Linked DNA regions of Elephas maximus indicus. The protein of the gene in region 2 purifies or fractionates together with the protein of the main gene of each other region. This does not show direct contact. Links are inferred from orthologs where the notes say so. Each region holds a gene or a part of one and is shown on either strand. Other genes may lie near its edges.

The links.
Region 1: the proteins of ARID1A (region 2) and DPF2 purify together in Homo sapiens (affinity purification with mass spectrometry; 6 studies listed by BioGRID and IntAct, counting the BioPlex papers as one, with this or other methods). This does not show direct contact. The link is inferred for Elephas maximus indicus from reciprocal best matches to the Homo sapiens genes ARID1A and DPF2.
Region 3: the proteins of ARID1A (region 2) and SMARCD2 purify together in Homo sapiens (affinity purification with mass spectrometry; 7 studies listed by BioGRID and IntAct, with this or other methods). This does not show direct contact. The link is inferred for Elephas maximus indicus from reciprocal best matches to the Homo sapiens genes ARID1A and SMARCD2.

What each region holds. Positions count from the first base shown.
Region 1 is NC_064825.1:128,496,100-128,503,218, reverse strand, and holds the start of DPF2 (zinc finger protein ubi-d4), read right to left. Parts: upstream 3,004-7,119; 5' UTR 2,927-3,003; coding exon 2,895-2,926; intron 1-2,894. Other genes in the region: CDC42EP2 (cdc42 effector protein 2), read right to left, coding at 6,808-7,119. UniProt on the Homo sapiens protein: Plays an active role in transcriptional regulation by binding modified histones H3 and H4. Is a negative regulator of myeloid differentiation of hematopoietic progenitor cells. Might also have a role in the development and maturation of lymphoid cells.
Region 2 is NC_064821.1:67,143,600-67,151,211, forward strand, and holds the start of ARID1A (AT-rich interactive domain-containing protein 1A), read left to right. Parts: upstream 1-4,582; 5' UTR 4,583-4,633; coding exon 4,634-5,746; intron 5,747-7,612. UniProt on the Homo sapiens protein: Involved in transcriptional activation and repression of select genes by chromatin remodeling (alteration of DNA-nucleosome topology).
Region 3 is NC_064837.1:55,038,740-55,046,252, forward strand, and holds the start of SMARCD2 (SWI/SNF-related matrix-associated actin-dependent regulator of chromatin subfamily D member 2), read right to left. Parts: upstream 3,004-7,513; 5' UTR 2,700-3,003; coding exon 2,484-2,699; intron 1-2,483. UniProt on the Homo sapiens protein: Involved in transcriptional activation and repression of select genes by chromatin remodeling (alteration of DNA-nucleosome topology).

The sequences.
Region 1 (7,119 bases), on a different chromosome or scaffold from region 2:
ATGTCCTCACTACACAGAGGAAAACTGGATAAACAAGGCTGAGCGCAGCAGCTCCTTTGTTTCTGCTGATGGGAATTGATACTGACACTGGGAAGCCAAATGGAAGGAAGAACCAGACTGGCTGAGGGCTGCAAAGTCAAGAGCAAGGAGGCTGGAAGTGGACTGGGGGAATGGATGAGAGAAGTTCTGTAAAAGCTTTTGGGAGTTAAGTGGCATTTCAGAAGGTGGGCAAACTGCTGTGGTGGGTAAGAGGGCTGGAAACGAAGCATGTGAAGGGGGAAGTCTGATGAGGACTGAGCAAGGGAGGAGATAGAGCTTAAGAACTCGAGGCTGCTGTAGCAAGAAATTCCAATCAAATATTATTCTCCAGATCTTGTTAAAACCAGTCAGCAGCCACAGCTATTTTATGCTACTATCTTACCACCAGATGCCCCCTGAAAGCCCTATGGGGCAGTTCTACTCTGTCCTACAGGGTCATCATGAGTCAGAACTGACTCGACGACAATGGGTTTGGTTTCACCCTGGAAGGAGCCCTGGCAGTGCAGTGGTTAAAGCACTTGGCTGATAACTGAAAGGTCGGCAGATCAAACGCACAAGCTGCTCTGCAGAAGAAAGATATGGCGGTCTGCTTCCATGAAGACTGCAGCCTTAGAACCCCATGAGGCAGTTCTACTCTGTTCTACAGGGTCGCTATGAGTCAGAATTGACTTGATGGCAATCAGTTTTTATCTTACTCTGGTAAGACCCCTTAGAGATGGTTTCACTTCTGACCCCATATTTGGGAGGGACAGAGAATTTACTAATTGAAGAACTCTTCTCCCAGGACAAGATGTAAGCCAGGAAATAAGAAGTCCTGACCTCAAGGTATAACCTCAGCTGTCAGAAGACAGGCATACCACAATCAAGAGAAGCACCAGAAAAGCAGCTCTTTCCAGGGTGAGAATGGTACAGGCAGAATGGATGCCCCTTCTGAAAGAGAGAGTTCTGCCTGGAATGTATCAAGTGTGGTCCAGAGTCCTCTGCAGCTAGAACTAAGGAGGACATAGGTGGTTCCTCATTATTGGTACTCAGCAACCAGGGGCTGGTGACCCTCACAATCTCCTCAGTTCTTTAAAGAGAAATAAAAAGTCACGTTGTATTTAAAATGGGCAAGGCACCCCTTACCAACTACCTGCTATTTCCCTGAAGAAAGTCTTCTAGCATGAAGACCCTCATTACTTATAACTCTTAAAACCTAGGCAAGCCTGACATTTCCTCAGTACAGTAAGGTTCTCTAGGTGGCAGCCTTGATTCTTTCTCAGGGATGCGTTAAACCAGTAGAAAACCTCCCCTCACAATAGGATGGGGGGAGTTAACCATGGGAAGAGCAGGGGAAACAAAGAACATTTGAGTCAGGAAAGATAACTATAGAAATGGTAGATCAACATTGTCATTCCCAAATTGAGGAAAATGTCAGCCTGAGAAGACGGCAGAGGGGAAACTGGAGTGGGCAGATCAGAGAGGAAGATAATGGTGCTGGGAGGAGGGGCGGCTGAAAGAGGCAGCAGGATAGAGCAGAAAGCTAGTTAAAAAAAAAAAAAAAAACCCACAAGAGAAGGCACTTAGCTTAATGCAAGCGGGAAAGCATTCTCACAGAAAAGGCTCCAGGCAGGGGGAAGACGCAATGTACCCTTATAGAAGGCTCTGGGGAAGAGCAGGACTCAATGACAGATGAGAAGCTGTGAAGCCCTTAGAATAGTCCCCCAACCTTCGCCTTTTCACCAGCCAAAACCTAAAGCCCTGGCTGGACAGCTACCTCTTAATCTTCCTCTGCCTGCACCAAGCCCGTTAAAAAAAACTTGCCCTACTGGCCCACAAGAGAGCCCTGGTGGCGCAATGGTTAAGCGCTGGGCTACTAAGTGAAAGGTTGAAAGGTTGATGCTTCGAACCTACCCAACCTGGCGATCTGCTCCCCTAAAGATTACAGGTTACAGCCTAGAAAACCTTATGTGGCAGTTTTACTCTGTCACATGGGGTCGCTATGAGTGGGAATCGACTGGACTGGTACCTAACAACGACACTGGCCCACGGGGTATTAAGCCATCTCAAAACTCACTCGAATCCTTCTTCTGGGAGGAGCTGCGGTCAAACCAAGTCCCAAAGCATCTTTAAATTCACAGGAAGCAACTAACAGGCCATTCTCCGTTTTTCCGACACCTCTAACTCTGAACTCTGCCTGAAATCCGCCCAGCACAGCGGTATCGTCTAGGACCAGGAATGCAGACCTAGACGTCCCTCCAGGATACATGAAGTTGTCGGGACTGCTTCCGTTCAGTCCCCGATGTTTTGACGGCCGGGACAGGCCGGCACAAAGGCCCGCTCCTCTTAAGCGCTTTCTCTTCCGGAGCTGCTTCTCCACAGATTCCTCCCAAGGAGAGCTGGAGTCTGGGGTCCCTGACAGCGCGCCCCCCGCCGTCCCGGGCGGCTGGGACACTGGGCCCCGCAGCCCTTCCCCGCACAGGCTCCGAGCCTGTTGCTCCGGGCCGGCTGCGGGGAAACGGTCGGCCCCGCTCCTCCGACTGAGGCGTCTCGGGAGGGGACCCGGGATGGCGTGTCTTCCGCAGGCGGCAAGGGCGCCATACTCGGGGTGTCGCAGGTCCTGAGGGAGCGCTCAGGCCACCAACCTCGCAGGGAGGGCCGTTGGGGGCTCCCGCCTGCCCCCTCCGGGCCTCCACAAGTTTCCAAAGAAGCGCAACGTCTCCTCCGGAGCCTCCTGTTGCCCTCCCCGCTAGGAGTCGCACCACGGCCTTCCCGGGCCTGGCTCTGCCTTCGCCTCGTTCCCTTCCCGCACCGCCCCCACTCCCAGGCCTCTCACAAGACCTCCCGGGCTCGCAGAGAAAGAAAGGACCACTCACAGCTTCACTACATTTTCCACCACGGCCGCCATCTTCCCTGCTCCTCTCCCTCAGGCCGGGAGGCCCCGGAGCCCGCAGCGCGCAGGCGCCGGGGCCGCGCCAGGGAGTGCGTTTCCTCGTCCCTCTGCGCAGGCGCCGCCCGGGCGCGCGCGCTCGAGAGCGAGCGCTGGAAAGTAACCTCCGTGCCCGTTAGCGGGCGTCGGGCAGGAAAGGTGTGAGGGAGCCAAAGGCAGCCCGACGCGCAGGCGCGACCGGGGACGGGCGCGCGCCCCGCTGCACCTGTTCTAGTCCCGCCTCTTCCATTTGGAGGAGCGGGAGGAGGGAGGAAGGATCTGCCCCACACAGAAATGAGAAGGCAAAAATGTTGGCGAGAACAGCCAGTGTTCCAGGGATGGTCTGGTGGGAGCGCATGCGTCTTTAACCACGTGGTTAACCCTTGTGCCTTTACTCATAGATGGGGATTGGTGGTATGGAAGGTGAGAGTGGTGCACAGCCCACTTGTGCCCATTTTAGGGAAAGGAAAGGAAGGGGAAGGGAGGGCGACAAAAGTTACCTCATCTTCCTGCCACCAAACCTACCCACCGAACTGCACTGAATACGTGGATATGGGAACCAAGGAGTGGAAGTGGGAGGTGCAGCCTCTGGCATTCTCAACTAATGGACCCTTTTGCAAAATGTTTTCTGTTTCTGCATCTCTGGGCTGGGCTCTGTCTGGTTTAGAGCCTTCAGGATCCAAGGAGCCCCTGGGTGGCATGAATGGTTGAGTGCCACTACTAGCTGAAAGGTTGGCGATTCAAACCCACCCGGAGGCACCTAGAAAGTCAGGCCTGACGATCTGCTTCCAAAAGGTCACAGCCTTGAAAACCCTATGGAGCAGTTCTCTGCACACATGGGTTGCCATAGTGGGAATCAACTCCAGGGCAACTAACAGGACCCAAGGAAGGAATGCGTCCACCCGGGGCTGGGGAGCACAATAAGGATCTTTTTAAATTAGTAGCCAAGACTGTCAAGAAGGAGCCCTGGTGGTGCAGTGGTTAAGTGCTGGGCTGCTAACCCAAAGGTTGGTAGTTCAAACCCACCAGCCACTCCTCAAGAGAAAGATGTGGCAGTCTGCTTCTGTAAAGATTACAGCTTTGGAAACCCTAGGCACAGTTTGCCCTGCGGGCATTTGCTAATCTGGAAGCTATGACTGTGAAATTTAGCTACTGGTTGGCAGTCTTTGGGGACAGGGACAAAAATCAAAACGCAGAGTCTGTCCAAGGTAGGAAATCAGATCCCCGGCCCCCTCCTAGACACACACACACTAAGTTGGGACTCCAACTTCCTCGGACTTGCAGCCCTGATCAGGCTACCTGGGTGGTCCAAAATGAGGTCTGGGACACATCTCCTTGTAAAGAACCCTGACCAGCCAAGATACTGGCTGAAAGCCAACGGAACATGTTCTGGGCCATGAAGGAGGGGAGTTATTCATACCAGCTACAGCTTCCTTGTAGAAAAAGTCTGTAGCTTCTACGTGTGTTTTTTTCTCGCTGTGTCAAATATATTTTTTATGTATTTTCATCCTCCATTCACTCTTGTACATAGGGTATGTTGGTGGTAAGGAACTTTAGAATTACTTAACCGTTGCGCCACCAGGGCTCCTTAGGGTGCATGTATAAGGAACCCTGTTGGCACAATGGTTCAGTGGTCAGTGGTTTGAACCCACTCATCTGGTCCATGGAAGAAAGACCTGGCAATCTGCTTCCATAAAGATTACAGCCTAGGAAACCCTGTGGGACAGTTCAACTTGGTCACATGGGGTCACTCTGAGTGGGAAATCGACTCAATAGTACCTAACAACATTTGTATGTATTTTAAGAGTAAACACTAATATAAGACATGCATGGAAGTTGAATATCCATAACAGTAGACCCTTAGAAACACTGGTAATTTTTCTGGCTGTCCAACAACTTTTCTTCCTATTTTGGGGACACGGTACCTGAACCCCATTATAAAAGCTGAAGAGGTACAGTCCCTTTTCTCCCTACCCCTGGCTACCTTGGAGTAAGCTGGTAGTCCAAGTTCAGTCAGGTGCTTCAGGTCCCCTCCCTAGTTCTTTATCCACCCCATGTCACAGCCCTAAGTGGTTCCCGGGGTCCTTTGGCTGGTGCCTGATGTAAGGTGGATCGAGAGAGGTCCAGGGGGACCCAGCACAGAAATGTCCTCCTTCTGTGGCTACTCTGGCCTCAGCTCAGCTCCAGGGTGAGGTGGTGCCTTCAGGGTGGGTGCAGCAATAAGGAAGTGTCTCTTTTTCTTGTCTTTCCCTTCCAAGGCAGAAGAGAACAAACGCCCAAGCACTGAGGAGGAGCTTGCAGGCAAGAAGGTGCTGGGCCTTCAGCTCCCTAACCCTTTGCCTTCACAAACTTTACCAGGGCACTGAGGTACCAGAGTAAATGATGGTGAGGAACTGCTATGTGACAGAAATAGCACTGACCTTGGAGTCTGACTATGTGAGACTGAGTTTTAACTTCTGTAAAATGGAGCTAAAGATACCCACCTCACAGGGTTATTGAGAAAATTAGAGATCACTGTTCCAAAATGGTTGTGGTGTGTGACTTGGGGCTCCAGAAAGGCAGGACTCTGATGTTGGAAAAGTGGTTCAAATCACCTTAGAGCAGTTTTGCTTGCAAGGCTGAAGCTGAGGCAATGGGGGAGCTCCCAAAGGATTTGAAGCAGGAAAGAACAGTCAGACTAGGTTTCAAAAAGGCACCACCCAGGCCAGTGAAGAGCGGCCCGGAGATCACAGAATCACATCTGATCACCTTTATGTGCCCTGACACCACGGCACTGGTCCCAGCTGTTTTCTTCATCACACTGTTTTCTTCATAGCATCCACCATTGTTGGAAATCATCTTACCTGTTTACAAACGTTATCAACCTCCTCCCACGCTGGAATGTCAGCTCCAAGAGAGCAGGGATCTAGTCTGTCTTGTACCCCAGCACCTGGAGCCACACCTGGCACATGGTGGATGCTCAGTAAACAGCTGTGGCTCCAGCTGATGGGCAACACGGCCAGGTCTGTCCCCCACTCCTGCATGCTCCCCAGCCCCCTGATGCCAGAGAATCTCCCTGAGAGTCCCCTGTACAGCCTTTGTGCTTCGTCTTACCCTTGGGTCTCCTCCAACAGACCCTGGCTGCCTGGGCACGACCAGCCCCAAGCCCAGCCCACACCAGCCAGCACCCAACCAATGTGGGAACGGCCACAGTTGGTCACTTGGTCTGTTCCTGCTCCATCCTCACTACAGCCAGGGCCTAATCCCCACAAAGGCCTCTCGGACTGGGGTCCCCTGCAGGGTGAGTTCGCAGTGCAGACAGTGGCCCAGCTTCAGGAGGAAACCTAAGACAAACGGGACAAGGCATGGGAAGACAGCCACCAGCAGCACCAAGTTTTATTACAACCAGAATCCCCCAGTCATGTGGAAGGGGACTAAGCAGGACACCTTCAGTCACTGCTGTGATGCCCCCGGACTAAGATGTGAAGCCAAAGGTCCCAAACCTCCACCTGGCTGAGCCCTGCCTTCCTCACCCCCACCTCCCCCCACCAGTCAGGACACCCCACTGGACTGAGCAGAAAGGAGGTGAGAAGGGGAGTTCTCTTCAGCACAGCCTTTACCCAAGGAGTCTGAGGAGAGGAAGAGCCATTGTCGGGGGGTTCAGGGCTGTTTGGGCCGGCGCCTCTTGCCCATGTCCTTGGTGGGCTGTTAGGGGGAAGCCATGTGGGCACTCTGCCCATGGATGAGGATGGAGGGAGAGAAACAAAGGCTCAAAGTGAGAAACCACGGCCACCACCAAACAGGTGGGACCTGGGGTCTGCCTCCTAGGCCAGGGCTGTGTCCACACACTGCCCTGAATCTGCCCGGCCTGGCTGCAGGTGCTACGTGGGGATCTGTACGCGGTCCAGGTCCTGGTCCTGGTCCATGATCTGGAGCACATCATCCAGGATGGAGGGCCCCAGGTCCACGTGCAGGGAGAGCAGGGAGCTGGCATGGGACAGGAAGGGCTCCTCTGCCCCGGACTGGGGGGTCAGCCCGTTGCGGGCAGGGCCAGCCTCTGGAGTCCTCCAGATGTCCACGTCCCCTGCCTCCTGCGGGGAGGGCTGGGAGGAGGGTTGAGGGGTCTCCAGGTGCAGCCGAGGGGGTTTGGGTGGGGCCTGGGTGGGGGGCAGGGTGAGGGCCTGGGGTCCCCC
Region 2 (7,612 bases):
CTTACTCTGCTTTCCCCAAAAGAAGTCAGCAAGGTCATTGGTGAGATTGGTGGATAAAGGGAATATACATAATAAGGTGCTCGAGTTGGGACTTCTTTCTCATGTTAGATTGACCCTGGGTGTTAGTTTTGTTTTTAACCTGCCGCAAATCAGATCAGCCTGGATCTTTATGTTATGTTATGTTTGATTCTATTTTGGGGGAAGGTGGTGGTGAGTGTAATTCTGTTTTACATTGGTACAAAGTAAACTCGTTGACTTATACCTAAGGGTATTTCTTCATAGCTACTCTTTCTTGTGAAAAAAAGCCTTATTCAAAACTACCATTTCTCAAATTGTGTTTCTTACCATTATTCTGAAATGTGAATTCACTGAAATTGTTTAAGACTTTCGAATGGGTGAAAAGCAGTCGTTGAGCTCTCTCCAAGCCTGCTGCGTTCTGGGTTGCTCCTTTGGGATTCTAGGTCCTTGGCAGGCACAATTTTACCGCGAAGAGCTGTTTAGTGCCACTCAGGCTCCATTCCACTTTTCTCCCTGCAGCTCCAGTTCGTATTTTACAGCTCCCGCCTGGGAGCTGGTAACATAATGAATTGCCTTGACTCTCCCTTCAATCCACTTTCCTCTCTTAATATGCAGCCCAAAGTTTTGCAGCTCGCTGTCAGATGGTAGTGCTAGACTTCCACACTGATCCCAAAGCCTCCGTTTGGGCTGTTTCTTAACACGCAGTTAAAAACTTTAAGAAACAGCTCCAGAAGGAAATCCACGCCAGGCTTTGAACTCTGCTTCTGGCTTCCGTCAACTGACAGAGTTGCCCTTTTGCTCAAACTCGCAGCTCCAGTTTGCACTCGGGAGAGCTCCACTGGGTGTCTGCTGCTTTGCCGCGGCGGGAACGTGTGTGTGGGGGCCACAGTCCGGCGCTCCAGAACCTAACCAAACCCGCACCGGACTCCCTAGGTTTAAAAGCTCTCCCTCCCGAAGGATTGGGGGAAGGAAGGAGGCTTGAGGAGCACAGCCCGATCTTTTGTTCGTTGTTTTGTATTTCAGGCATTTAGGGGAAGCAAACTGTGAGAGAGGAAGGGCTGTCGCCCCGTGCAAACGTTTCCTTCTCTTAGCAAACCCTCCAGGCCTCGTTTCCACATTTTACAGTTGACTGGGTGGATTTTAATAGGTTGTTCCCGGCCCCAATCCACGCACACTGTGCAGCCGGGTAAAATGAGAGCACATCCTCTGCCATTTTCAGCCGGTTTGTACTGGCAGCCCTGCCCCCCTTCCTGGGCTGCCGCAGCCGCTTTAGTTAATGTTGTGCGTTTAGAAACTCCGTCGGATCGTCCAGGCCGTAGATCCAGTCCACATTTGCCAAGTGCCGTGCGGTCGGGATGGTGATAAGAACTCTCTTGTGAGGCAGAGCGAGCGAGACTTTAGTCCGGTTTCCATGTCAACGATTCAGTCCATATTTGCCATCAGGCTGTTGGTGGCAGAGGCGCTTTCGTGAGGGTAGCGCTGTCCTAGTCCTCGTTTTCCAATCTGCGCCGGGATTCCTGAGCTGCCTGGGTGTGGGGTTAAATGGCAGGGGCCGTAGGGGAGAAAACTCCACCGTGGGGAGGACCCACAGCCCTGAGCCGGGGTCTCGCAGCTCGGGCCAGCCACGTGCCCGGCTCCTCCCCTCCCCCCCGTTCCCGCTCCTCTCGCTCCTAGGGAGAGCTGATGGGCCAGTTTCTAAGAAAGTTCTGTTCTGTCCGGCAGTTGCTGGGACGGTGGCGTGGGGCTCTAATGGTAGAAGTGGAAGAGGACCCTAAAAGATTTAAGGTTAAACAAAAGAAGGTGGGAAAGGAGAAATCGCACGTTACCTCACCCAACTCAGGTGGATAAATTTTGTGCACTTAAAAATAAAAAGGGTGGCTGTTTCCAAAACTGCCCACGTGTGGGGAGATGGGTTTTGGTTCTTTCCGTATTTCACAGAAATTGAAGAAAAGATGAGGTCTTCCTATGAAGACGAATCAGTTCTGGCTTCCAGGTTTTCACAGGTTTCCCATTATATCCCAGCTCTGAGGAAAACGGCAGGGTAATTGCACGTAAAAAATTCCTCATTTGTGTGCAAGACCCGGGACTGTTTGCCAGCTCAGTGGCAGTTGATTAAATAACCCAGCTCCACTTTATGAGGCAGCCTATAATTTGGTTTCTAGGACCTGATTCACGAGGAGAGTTGTTGCCCCTCTGTACTGTGAGTGAAACGGGGCACTGGCCCATTCCAGCCAGCCAGATCCTTTTGGTAGGCTGTTTTGGTTCTTGGCTTGGGGAGGTGGTGGAAGGCAGTGGTTTCGTTTTTTTGGATTTGCCCACTCTTAGATTAACAGGAAGGTTTTGCCTTTCTCGTGTAGGATCCTCTAGGTTAGTTTTGTTGGAGGTGGATATGAGTTCAGGCTTTTGTAATTAGTATGTGTCCAGTGAGTGGCCAGAACTCTAGGGAACTGCAGAATCTGGAAGGATATTGGTCTGTGGCCAGGAGATCTCCACTTAGAAAATCTGAGGGAAAAAGAGGCCCTGGTGTGTAAGGAAGACGCTGGCTTGGGCCTCCCAAGGCAGTCGTTGACCTGGTGAGGAGCTGGAATCCCCTCTGGCTCTCCTAGTCTGTCATATCAGAACGTTCCCAGTCAGCTTGAGGAAAAGGCTGCTGCTGGGACACCACCGTTGGAATTTTATATGTATGCCTTTATATTTTCAGAGAACCTGGTCTTATACCCAACTCCAACTAAATTGGGGTCTTAGAATGTATAGGTAAACTTTAAAGATTCTTTATACTGGTGGGGCGGCTAGACAACAAATCTGGGTTGCATCCACTTTCTGCATGACCTGTTAGGCTGTGCCTACGCTCTTTACAGAGAAAATGGTTTCTATCCTTTGGCCATCCCTCTTCTGCAATGGCTTGAACGCTCACATTTCTCTGGTACCCACTGGGAGTCTCTTCCGTGGGCTGTCTAGTCTTAACGTGTGCTGCCTTTGGAGGCTGGGGCTATTGGTTATTGTGGCCCAGACTTTCTTCGGAAGCGACCATAGGGCTTTGGTTCTACTGCTGGGAGTCTGACTGCCATATGCCCCACGGGAACTTCAGTGGCAAGCATTTTAAGTCAACGGTGAGCTGACCAGCTTTGATCTTAAATCCATTCTGATATTCTGATCCCATTGTTGGATTTGCTCACTACTTGACAGTTTTTTTTTTTTTTTTAAGGCTAAGTAGACATGTGGCAGCCTTGGAGACTCCACTTGCTTTTAAAGCCACCCTCCTCTGCCCTCTGACTTTAAGTGACCCAGGGCAGGTCCCCTCCCCTCTCGGTCTTTCAATTCTGTAAAATGGGGATAATCCGGACCCCATGCCCCTAGGGCCTTGTCAGGTCGGGCTAATGAGGGCAGGGAAGTGGGAAAGCGGAAAGTCTGAACAATAATCAGTCATTTCTTTCGGCTTGCAAAGAGAGTAAACTGCAGAGCCTCGTTCGCTCACTCAGCCGGGTCTTTAGAGCAGGTTTGTAAAGGGCTTTGAAGAAAAGTGCTGTAGAGGTGCTAAGTAGCAGCCAAGAGACCAGGCCCGCTGCCAGGGAGTCAAGCCTGGGCCGAGGCGGCCGCGGTCTCGGGCTCAGGCCAATTTTGCAGCCGCGGGTAAAGTTCACGCTGCCCGCTGCTCCCCTCCGTGCGGCCGGGGTACCCGCCAGGATAGGAACTCCGGGAGGGAGGCGGCGCAGGCTCCGGAGAGGCTGGAGCTCCAGGCCGGGTTTTCCCTGAAGCCTTCGGCGGCAGCGCTGCCGAGCGAAAGCGGCAGAGAGCCTGCCGCTGCCGCCACGGCTAGTTCTCTTCCCCTCCTCCTTTGTGAGGGGAAGAGAGCGAGTCCGCTCCGCGGCCTGCGCCCGCTCCGTGCTCCATTCCGGGTTTGCCAGGCGGCCGCGACGGTGCTGGGTAAAATGGCAGTGCTGAGCCTCGTGTCGGAGTGAGGGGGACTCGGAGGAGAGTGGGGCGCTCTAGCCGTTCAGTCGGGCCGTCCGCCTGCTCGCCCGCCCGCTGCCGCGCAGCAGCCTTGGCCACAGCCGCGGCCGGGGAGGGGAGGCAGGGCGTCCGGCCCGGCCAGCGCTCCGACTCTGCCTCCCGGCGCCCGGGCTGCTGCCGCGCGCCCTCCAGCCCGCCCGTCCCGGGTCCCCCTCCCCCCGCTCCCTCCCTCCCCGCCCCCTCCCCCTCGCCTCCCTCCCTCCCTCCCTCCTCCTTTCTCCGGCAGCAGAAAGCGGAGAGTCACAGCGGGGCCAGGCCCTGGGGAGCGAAGCCTCCACCGCCCCCCTCATTCCCAGGCAAGGGCTTGGGGGGAATGAGCCGGGAGAGCCGGGTCCCGAGCCTCCAGAGCCGGGAGCAGCTGAGCCGCCGGCGCCTCGGCCGCCGCCGCCTCCTCCTCCTCCGCCGCCGCCAGCCCGGAGCCTGAGCCGGCGGGGCGGGGGGGAGAGGAGCGAGCGAGCGAGCGCAGCGCAGCAGCGGAGCCCCGCGAGGCCCGCCCGGGCGGGTGGGGAGGGCAGCCCGGGGGACTCGGCCCCGGGGCGGGGTGGGAGGGGGGGAGAAGACGAAGACAGGGCCGGGTCTCTCCGCGGACGAGACAGCGGGGATCATGGCCGCGCAGGTCGCCCCCGCCGCCGCCAGCAGCCTGGGTAACCCGCCGCCGCCGCCCTCGGAGCTGAAGAAAGCGGAGCAGCAGCAGCGGGAGGAGGCGGGGGGCGAGGCGGCAGCGGCCGAGCGCGGGGAAATGAAGGCAGCGGCCGGGCAGGAGAGCGAGGGCCCCGCTGTGGGGCCGCCGCAGCCGCTGGGAAAGGAGCTGCAGGACGGGGCCGAGAGCAATGGGGGTGGCGGCGGCGGTGCCGGCAGCGGCGGGCCCGGCGCGGAGCCGGACCTGAAGAACTCGAACGGGAACGCGGGCCCTAGGCCCGCCCTGAACAATAACCTCACGGAGCCGCCCGGCGGCGGCGGCGGCGGCAGCAGCGACGGGGTGGGGGCGCCTCCTCACTCGGCCGCGGCCGCCTTGCCGCCCCCAGCCTACGGCTTCGGGCAGCCCTACGGTCGGAGTCAGTCCGCCGTCGCCGCCGCCGCCGTCTTCCACCAACAACATGGCGGACAACAAAGCCCTGGCCTGGCAGCGCTGCAGAGCGGCGGCGGCGGCGGGGGCCTGGAGCCCTACGCGGGGCCCCAGCAGAACTCGCACGACCATGGCTTCCCCAACCACCAGTACAACTCCTACTACCCCAACCGCAGCGCCTACCCCCCGCCCCCCCAGGCCTACGCGCTGAGCTCCCCGAGAGGCGGCACTCCGGGCCCCGGCGCGGCGGCGGCCGCCGGCTCCAAGCCGCCTCCCTCCTCCAGCGCCTCGGCCTCCTCGTCGTCTTCGTCCTTCGCTCAGCAGCGCTTCGGGGCCATGGGGGGAGGCGGCCCATCAGCGGCCGGCGGGGGAACCCCCCAGCCTACCGCCACCCCCACCCTCAACCAACTGCTCACGTCGCCCAGCTCGGCCCGGGGCTACCAGGGCTACCCCGGGGGCGACTACGGCGGCGGGCCCCAGGACGGGAGCGCCGGCAAGGGCCCGGCGGACATGGCCTCCCAGTGCTGGGGGGCCGCGGCGGCGGCGGCGGCGGCGGCCGCCTCGGGAGGGGCCCAACAAAGGAGCCACCACGCGCCCATGAGCCCAGGGAGCAGCGGCGGCGGGGGGCAGCCGCTCACCCGGACCCCGCAGGTACACAGCTGAGTGGGGAGGGGGCTGGGGCAAGCAGGGTCCTGGGGGTGGGTGGCGGCAGCGGGGAGCTGGCCACAGCCGTGGGCTCTCCCCAGTCCGGGGCCCCCGTTGCTGGGGAGCTGCCATTGTCTGGCTCTTCTCTCTTAAAATGGCTGCCTGTCTGCCTTCCTCTCTTTCCCTCGTTCAGTCTTTGTGTGGGGCTTTCCCAGAGGTGTCTGCTCCTCTTCTCCTTCTTTTCTGGTCCCTGCGAACTCCGGGGATCTTCAGGGGGTTGCGGAGCAAAGTGTGCGGGGGAAGGGCCCGGCCTGGGGTGAGGGGGTGCTGGGGGCTCAGGTTAGGGGTGTAGTTGGTGGCAGGGGCTCGCGAGTTGAACAAACAGTTCTTTGCTCACCTGCCGCTTTTCTCTGACCCCCTGGCTTCCTCTAGGCTGTTGCCCATCTGTGCTTTTAAAGAGGGGCCCCTCGGACTCGTGGGGACCTCGAGGGAGGGCAGGGGCCTGCTTGGGGGCAGGTAGAGGCCGGCTGCGGTTCACCCAGGGCAGCCTGGGCCGTGTTCTGTCTTAGTCTCCTTCGGCCCAGTGGCCTGGGCTTCTCCCTGGAAGTGCTGGTAAACAGCTGAGTGATTGGAGTAGTAAGTGCAGATTGCTTTGGTTTGGGATTTGAATTATGGAGGTAAAATCCTTCTGTCAAAGCCAGGAGACAGTTGGTCTTAGGTTGACATCCTATCTGTGATCTGATTGGCTCCCCATCTCCTGCTCTTGGCCATTTATAATTGCCTCTGATGTAATGGTACAACAATCCTGATGAGCTCATAAACTTTTACACTCTGCTTTTCTGCCAGTGATAACCCAAACCATCGCTGCCACTATCTGTCTTTTATTCCAGAGCTGAAATTGGCTGTGACCTTGAGGAGGGAGGTTTAAGCAGCAATACTGTATCAGCAAGAGCAGAGCCTCAGACAGGCTGCCCTTGTTACATTGTGCCAGAAACAAAAGAGGAGGCAATGGCATTTTGCTTGTACCTTGGATTTATTTTGCTTGTTATGTTTTATGCAGCCTGAAATAGATTCTGTGTTGTTAGAACAGTAGCTGAGTTTTTCTCTACAATGGGTTTGCTGTTTGTTTTGGTTTTGTGACTTTCCCGATGGTATAAATGACTTCTTTGATGGCTCTGAAGATGCATTTGTCTTAGAGTAATTTTGACTCTGTTCGCTTCGAAGAATTGAAATTATTTTACTTAGCTTTTTATTGAGTGGTGAATGTGGGATCTTTTTGGGGGGGAGGGTGGAAGAAAACTTTTATTTTTATTTTTTGGAGAACTGGAAGGTTTCTGAGAATTTCATATTAGGTTCAAGTGTTCTGTTTTAAGGAAGGCGGGCCCTATTCTTTGTTTACATGTTGAATCTTGTTAACGCTTTCTTTTGTTAATTGAACTTTGGGTGAGCAGCTCAGTTTAAAGGGAAGGGACTATCTGTCTTTCATGATTGTGAGAGGGACTTTCTCCTAAAATTCGTGGTTTGGTAAAATTTTTCGTTTACTCTTGGAATATCAAAAGGCTGGCTTTTTATTTTGCCATCAATCATTTTAGAGCTCAGCCAATTTTTTCTTTGCATTCTAAGGTATGTTCCTTTTTTTTCGGTCTTCTAGTTTTTTAGTATACAAAGAGATGACCTACAGTGATGCTTAAAGATTTGGTTAGATATTACAACTTCTAGTTACCTTTTTATACATTCTATTTTATTTTGCTCTTTTTCGGTCTTCATAATGCTTTGTTTTTAAGGCTTTGGTCAGGAATATAGGGTACTCTGTGGACCCATGTGTCTTTTCAAAGAGGGGCAAAACTCCCTTCACACACCCTCCTCCCCCAG
Region 3 (7,513 bases), on a different chromosome or scaffold from region 2:
GGCCCTGCCAAGCTCCACAGCTAGCCTTTGAAGCATCAGTAACTCCTCCCCCTTCAAAAAAATAACCCAGGAATTAAAAAAAAAAAAAAAAAAAGCCCAGAACTCTCAGCTCTTGGCATTCCAGATTATGCAGCCTGCAGCCCAGCTAGGTGGGCTTGACTCAGTCCCCTGACCCTCAGAAGCATGCAGTAACCTCCCCTCTTTGGCCCAGCACAGGCCATATTGTAAGCTTGGCTCCACCACCACCACCACCACCACCAGGACAGCAGGGGCAGAAGGCTGGGCCTGATGCTGTGGGCCTCCAGCTGAGGAATCCAGACCTCAAGAGAGCACGTTCTTCACTGCCCCAAGCCTGTGGCCCCGACACTCCTGGTGGCTGGGCCTCAGTTAGAGGAGAACATATTCCCCATGAGCAGCAAGTATTCTAAATTCTCCAGAATAAACCCAGCAATTCGTGGTGCCTGCGTGCGTGCACAGGTGGGAGCATACGCGTATGTGTGCACTTCTGATTTTCTGGTGTTTTGAAGCTCCTCCGCTGACTGTTCGAACCAGTGTCTAGAGGGAGCTGGTTCATCACGCCCCTCTTTTCCGTTGGCTCCCCTAATTTGCCTAGCTCAGGCCCTCGAATGTCTGCTCTTCCACCTCACCTAACGAGCCCTCATAGACAGGAACTGCTCTTGCTCCTCAGATCCGGGAGTCAAACCACCCCCCTTAGAAAGAGGGCAAGCAGATCCTCCTACTTCCAAACTCACCAAAGTGAGCTGGATTCTCCCTCTCCACATCTACGGATGGGATGGGAAGCCTTGGGAAGCAGAGGGTCGGTGCCTTCCCCTAGTTCCCCACCATAAAGCCCAGGCCACTCGGCCAGCCACCTCGGCCTTGCTGCAGTACCACGGCCACTCCCCACAAAACCTTGTGGGATCAATCCTAGAAGGGGCTTTCCTAAGGGCACATTTCCCATGGGGTGCATGCCAAGGGAGCTGAACAGTCTCCTCTCCGATTTCAGGTCTCCCCAGGCCTAAGGCTCACAGAGAGACTCACAGTCCAGGTCTCAGCTAACAGGCCCAAGGGCTATAATGGTCCATGTGGAGACCCCTCAGGGACACTTGGGCCCATGAATCCCCAAAGGGGAGGGCAAGGTGGGAAAGATGGACTCCAGCTGGAGGCCTTGGGGCCAGGTCAATCTCTGTCCATATTCACACCTTCTGTTTTCTTTTGGGAGAGGAGAGAAAGAGACAGAGCATAAGAGGAAAAAAAAAAATCACTGTCCCCCGTTAACTATTTCTTTAGAAAGTGACGGCTCTGCACACATCCTACCCCATGAGGGACCACTTCCAGGACCTCTCCCAGGTGACATGAGGAGGGGTCAAAGGAAGTCCCAGTGTAGACCTTGGGAGATTAGTAAGAAGCCTGTGCCAAATGCTGGGGCACACGGGCTGGGATATGGTGGTATGAGACCCTTAAGGCTAAATGAAAATGGAGAAGGGGTAAAAAGGACGGACAATTCTCAAGCATTCTGGGGCCACCTGAAACAACGGACGGGACAAGGGGACTGTTGAGTCCCACCAGCAGGGTCAGGCAGAGTTCCTCACACACTGACCCTGAGGATCCAGTCTGTGCCTCTCAAAGCCTTTGGAGCTCTCCTCACAAACTCCAAAGGGGTCAGGACAGTAGGGTCCTTCGAAGTGACTCTCCCAGCTCCTTCCACCCCAGACCAGCAGGGCTCAGTGGAGCTTCCCTGCTCCTCCAGACTAATCAACTCCTGGACACTATGACAACAGGCACAAAGCCAAGAAGAGAACGGCCGGAACGGTCTGTCACGGGGCTAGGCTTTTCTTCCTCAGCCTGACCACCACGGTCTCTGCTCTAACTCAGTCACCCCATTAAGTGGAATCCCCTTGCTCTGTCCTCAGCCTCCCACGCTCTGGGAAGCCAGGCTCTTCTTCCTCTTAAGCAGCTGGGAGCCATCTAAGAACGCAGCCAGCCAACAGGACAGGGCATGCTAAACTCTCCCAGTTCCGGACTAGAAAAACCAGGGTAGACTTGGGGTGGGACGAGGTCAATGCAGCAAAACCCTGATTTCTCAGTGAGGGCCCTTGAGGCTCCCCTTTTCCAAAACTTTCTCGTCACTTCCCAGGACCCCAACCCAGGATCTACGCCAGATTTCTCAGAGCCACACATTCACTAGCTCCTACGACTCCTATATCTCACTCAGAATCCCAGCCCCCACGGGACCCCCAGACCCTCCGAACTGCTTCAAACCCTCCACCCCAGAGACCCTCTTACCCTTTTCCCCCAACTCCTCCACCACCTCCCGGCTGCACCCTGAGGGTCCCTGGTTTTGTCTTCCACATATCCCATGAGACCCCGTGCAGGGACTATGCCCTCTGCCCAGGAGGCACTCCCAGGGCCTCTACCCGCGCGCCCGCTCTGTCCCTGCCCGGGGCGCCCTCGCGGCTCCGCCCGCCCAGCCACCGCCTTACCTGGTACGGCGCTGCGGGCCCCGCGGGCCCCATGGGGCGGAAGGCGGCGGCCGCGGGGCCCCCCACGCCTCCAGCCGGCCCTGGTCCCCTGAGCGCCGGTCCGGGCAGCATGCCGGGTCCCGCGGGGGGAGGTGGCGCCCCCAGGGCCGCGGCCACGGCGCTGCCGCCGGGGCTCAGCGGGGGCAGCGGGAACCCGCCCGCGCCACGACCCGACATCGCTCCGTCCCGTCCGGCGGTGTCGCGATCCGGACTCCGGGCTTCGCGACGAATCCGGTCCGTGCTCCGTGCTCCGGGACTTTCCGATCTAAATTCCGGGTTCTGCCAATCCGAGTTCTGGGGTTTGCTGATCCGGGTTCCGGGATTTCCTAATCCAAGTTCGGGAGTTGCTCACTGACCCGGTTTGGGCTAGGGCCAATCCTGATTCCGCTCCTGTCGTGCAAATTCCGGATCCGGGATCTGCTACGCGCCCGCCCGCCGCCCCCGAGCCGCGGCAAGTTGAGCCGCCGGCGCCCAGCTTACCCAGAGGCTGCAACTAGCTCCCTGCCCCGCCCAACCCAGCCCTGCAGTAGGCCCCGCCTACCTCTAGCTGCCCAATGCTAGGATGCCTCCTCAAATCCCGCCCCTCGCGAGACCCGCCCCTAGCAGGCACCGCCCCTAACTGCCGGCCCCCCCCAGGCCCCGCCCACAATGCTAGGGCCGGCCCTTCGCCGGAGGGGCGGGAGAGGAAGCTTAGCCCGGAAACGCCAAGCAAGGCTCGGGGTCAGAAGTCGAAGGTTACATGGGGCCGCCACACTGACTGGGGTAGTTGCTGCTCTCTCTCTGGTGTAGCCGCCAGACTTTACGTAGTTTTGTCAGATATCCTTTTTACATTTTCAGCATTAAAGACAAATAAGGGCTGCTCTCTGGGGCAGAACAGCTGCCAACTCGGCTTTCTTATAAAGCTCTTCCTGGTGGCTCAGAGCTGCCAAAGGACATCAGCGGTTCCAGACCCGACCCAGCTGTGTTAAGGGTCGACTTGGCTAATTGCTAAATTCTTCTCGTGCATTTTTAACATGGCTTTGCCTCACTTTAAGGAAGCCCAGTACTTGACTTCACATGAAGTTTTTCTAGGTGAAGAAAATTTGGACTATGAAAAATCTCCCTGCAGTTAAATAAGGTGTTTCTCCAGTAGTTATAGCACTTCATTTTTCAAAAATCCAGGTAGCTTACCTTAGGTGATCTGAGGTCTCCTCCCCTAATACAGACCAGTGCTTCACAAGCTTTTATGAGCATACAGGACACCTAAGGCTCACATTAAAAATGTTGATTATGATTCAATAGCCCTGATGGTGCAACAGTTTTAAGTACTTGGCTGCTACCTGAAAGGTTGGTGGTTTGAACTTACTCAGTGGCTCTGGGAGAGGGACCTGGCAATCTGCTCCTGTAAAGATTAACCAAAAACCCAAATCCATTGCTGTCCAGTCGATTCCGACTTATAGCCACCATATAGGACAGTGTAGAATTGCCCCGTAGGGTTTCCAAGGCTGTAATCTTTAGAGAGGAGCCTTGGTGGTGCAGTGGTTAAGGGCTCAGCTGCTAACCAGAAGGTCAGCAGTTCAAATCCACCAGCTGCTCCTTGGAAACCTTATGGGGCAGTTCTACTCTGTCCTGTAGGGTCACTATGAGTCTGGATTGACTGGTCAGCAATGGGTTTGGTTTTTGGTTTTAATCTTTAGGGAAGCTGACTGCCACATCTTTCTCCTGACGCCTAAAAATTACAGCCTAGGAAACCCTATGGAGCAGTTCTACTCTGTCACATGGGGTTGCCATAAGTCAAAATCAACTTGATGGCATCTAACAACAACAAGGTCTGGAGTGGGGCCCAAGATTCTGTATTTCTAACAAATTCTCAAGCGATGCTGTTGCTACTCAGACCACACTTTGAGTGGCCAAAGTAAAAGACTGTTTGGCCTATTTGGCCCTAATCCTCTGCTTTATGTTTTCATCCCCAAGCAAGTGATTGCTTACCTCCTTGTACCATAGCACCCTAGAGCTTGTTTATAGCACAGCCCTCCAGTCCTTTTTAGAAATTAGTTTTCCTGATATGTACCTCCTTGTATCTTTCTTCCAGTGATAAACCCTGCTATTGCTGCTGCTTTGCTACCTCTTGGTCCTCTCAGTTTCCTCTTCCTCCTCAAAAGTCAGTTTACCTGCCAGTCTAGGGACCAAAAAAAGCTCATCGCTGTCAAATTGATTCTGACTCATAGCAACCATAAAGACAGAGTAGAACTACGCCAGTGGGTTTCCAAGGCTGTAAGTCTTTATGGAAACAGACTGCCACATCTCTCTCACGGAGCGACAGGTGGGTTCGAACCACCAGCCTTTCAGTTAGCAGCCAGGCTGAACCACTGTGCTGAAACACTGCATCGCCAGGGCTTTGGCAGTCTAGGGACAGGTCACCAGAATTGTTACATTCATTGAGCAGTGGTCTCTTCCCCTCACCTGTAAGATGGGTAAAGAGGTCATGATAAGGCAGTTAACATCCATTTCAACCCTTCTAAGCTCCTTCAGCAGGAGTTCTCAAGGAAGTGGTAGGGGTGGTAGAGAATCAAAATCGCCAGGGGAGCTGTTCCAAGAATATTCCTACCAGCCCCCTTCTTCAAATCCAGTAAGGAAGGGGGGACTCCCTGTACTGTATTTTAAGAATAAGCCTTCCAGTTATTTCTGATACAACCCCCCTTCTAGAGAACTACTGCTTTGGAAAAGAGGCTGCTAGTATGTGCACTTAAAAACAGATAAAACAGTTCAGTGTAAACCAGACCCTACTAATCCCTCGTTTAATATCCTTCCCAGCTCATCATTGCTGTTAGATTGAATGTCACCCTCCCTTTCATGACATATAAGTGTTCTACAAGGACATGGCACTTGCTTACCTCTTTGGCACATTTTAAATCTCAGCCATTGGCTTTCTAAGGGCCAACAAGAAGATGGTCTCCCTGCAGTTTTTCAAACTGCAAGCCCCTTCCCGCCTCAGAGCCTTCTGCCCCCAGCTCATTCTAGCTTTTCCACTGTCTCCCTTACTTCCTTTACTTCCTGTCAAGTGATTATCACAATATGTAATTACTTACTTATGTGTACGCAATTTATTGTCAAGTAGCCCTGGTGGCATAGTGATTTCAGCTGCTTGCCGAAAGGTTGGTAGTTAGAACCCACGGGAGAAAGATGTGGCAGTCTGCTTCCATAAAGATTACAGCCTTGGAAACCCTATGGGGCAGTTCTGCTGTCCTGTAGGGTTGCTATGAGTCAGAATCAGTTCAACAGCAATGGGTTTTTTGGTTAGCTTACTGTCTGATCTGGTTCCCCCACTAAAATATAAACTCTGTGAAGGCAGGAACTGTGCCTCTCTTCATCACTGTTGTAACCTATTCAACTCATATTTAGGAATGAATAAATGAGCTATGAGTGTAGTGGGAGAGAATGATAAACAGATAATGTCAAGAATAACTTAATTATTGTGATGAAAATATCTTCAAGATATTAGGGGGAAAATACCGATATCTAAGGCATGATAGAGATTAAGAAAGATTTCCCGTAGGGTAGGCAGAAAATAACCCAAAACCAAACCTGTTGCTGTCAAGTCAATTCTGAAAATAAAAAAATAGCTAACATTTGTTAAGCATTTACCATGTGCCTGCACATATTACCTTTTTAATCCTTACAATGTATATGAGATACATACTATATATGATGTGTTGTTGTTGTCAGGTGCCATCGAGTTGGTTCCAGTTCATAGTGACCCTGTCTGTGTTCAAAAGAACAAAACACTGCCTCATCCTGCGCCATCCTCACAATCGTTGCTATGTTTGAGCCCACTATTGCAGCCACCGTGTCAATTCATCAGGTAGACGGTCTTCCTCTTTTTTGCTAACCCTCGCTTTACCAAGCATAATGTCCTTTTCCAGGAACAGTTCCCTCTTGATAACATGTCAAAAGTATGAAGATGAAGTCTTGCCATCCTTGTTTCTAAGGAACATTCTGGCCGTACTTCTTCCAAGACAGACTTGTTCGTTCTTCTGGCAATCCATGGTATATTCAATATTCTTCACAACACCATAATTCAAAGGCATCAATTCTTCCTTGGTCTTCCTTATTCATTGTTCAACTTTCACATGCAAAATTTACACATGGTAAGATCAACCTTTTTAGGTGTAGTTTTTTTAAGTTTGAAGAAATGAGTACAGTCATATAACTACCATCACAATCAAGATAAATGACATTTCCATCATTGCAAGTTCCTTCATATCCCTTTGAGGGCAATAGAGTCCCCTATCCCCATCCGCAGCCCTTGGCAACCACTGATCTGATTTGTCTCTGTAGCGTTGCCTTTGCCAGAATGTCATATAAATGCTCTAGCATCCACAACCTAGGCACTTAACCACTACGCAAAATTTATTACCTCTTGTTGGTAGCTGAGTCTGTTATTACTTGCAAATAAATAGTGTTCAAGCTAGTGTCATCCGGAATCAGAGAAAAATAAGTTGATTAGTAGGTCCTGATTAATCAGACAAGGTTTCCTGGAGCCCTTTGGTTTGAAGGAGATGCTATTAGTGGTTACCTAATAGGCAAATGGAATCTGCTGTCTCACCTCAGGACAATTCAAGATCTTGTGAAAAAAGCACTGAGTTAAGGCTAAAGAATAGATAGAGATGGGGGAAGAGACACACCCACCCTCATAGGACTTAATTATGCAGCTCGTTATTAGACATTGCAGTCATGGAGGCATCATTCCATGCCTTTGTTCCCTCAGCAAGGAATGCCTTTTTCTCTCTTCCCCTTCTTCCCTCCATACTTAGTCTGCTCACTGCCCACTTTTTGGAGATCCGTTTCAACAACTTTTATTGAGGCCTTCCAGTCTAGAGAAAGGGCTTTCCCATAACCTTTCCGTCTTGATCCTGTTGCATCTACAGAGAGATTGGAACGGAACTATTTAATTTAATAAAGTATTGAGAAAAATGTTTTATTGTGCATTAGGTAAAAGTTTACAGAGCAAA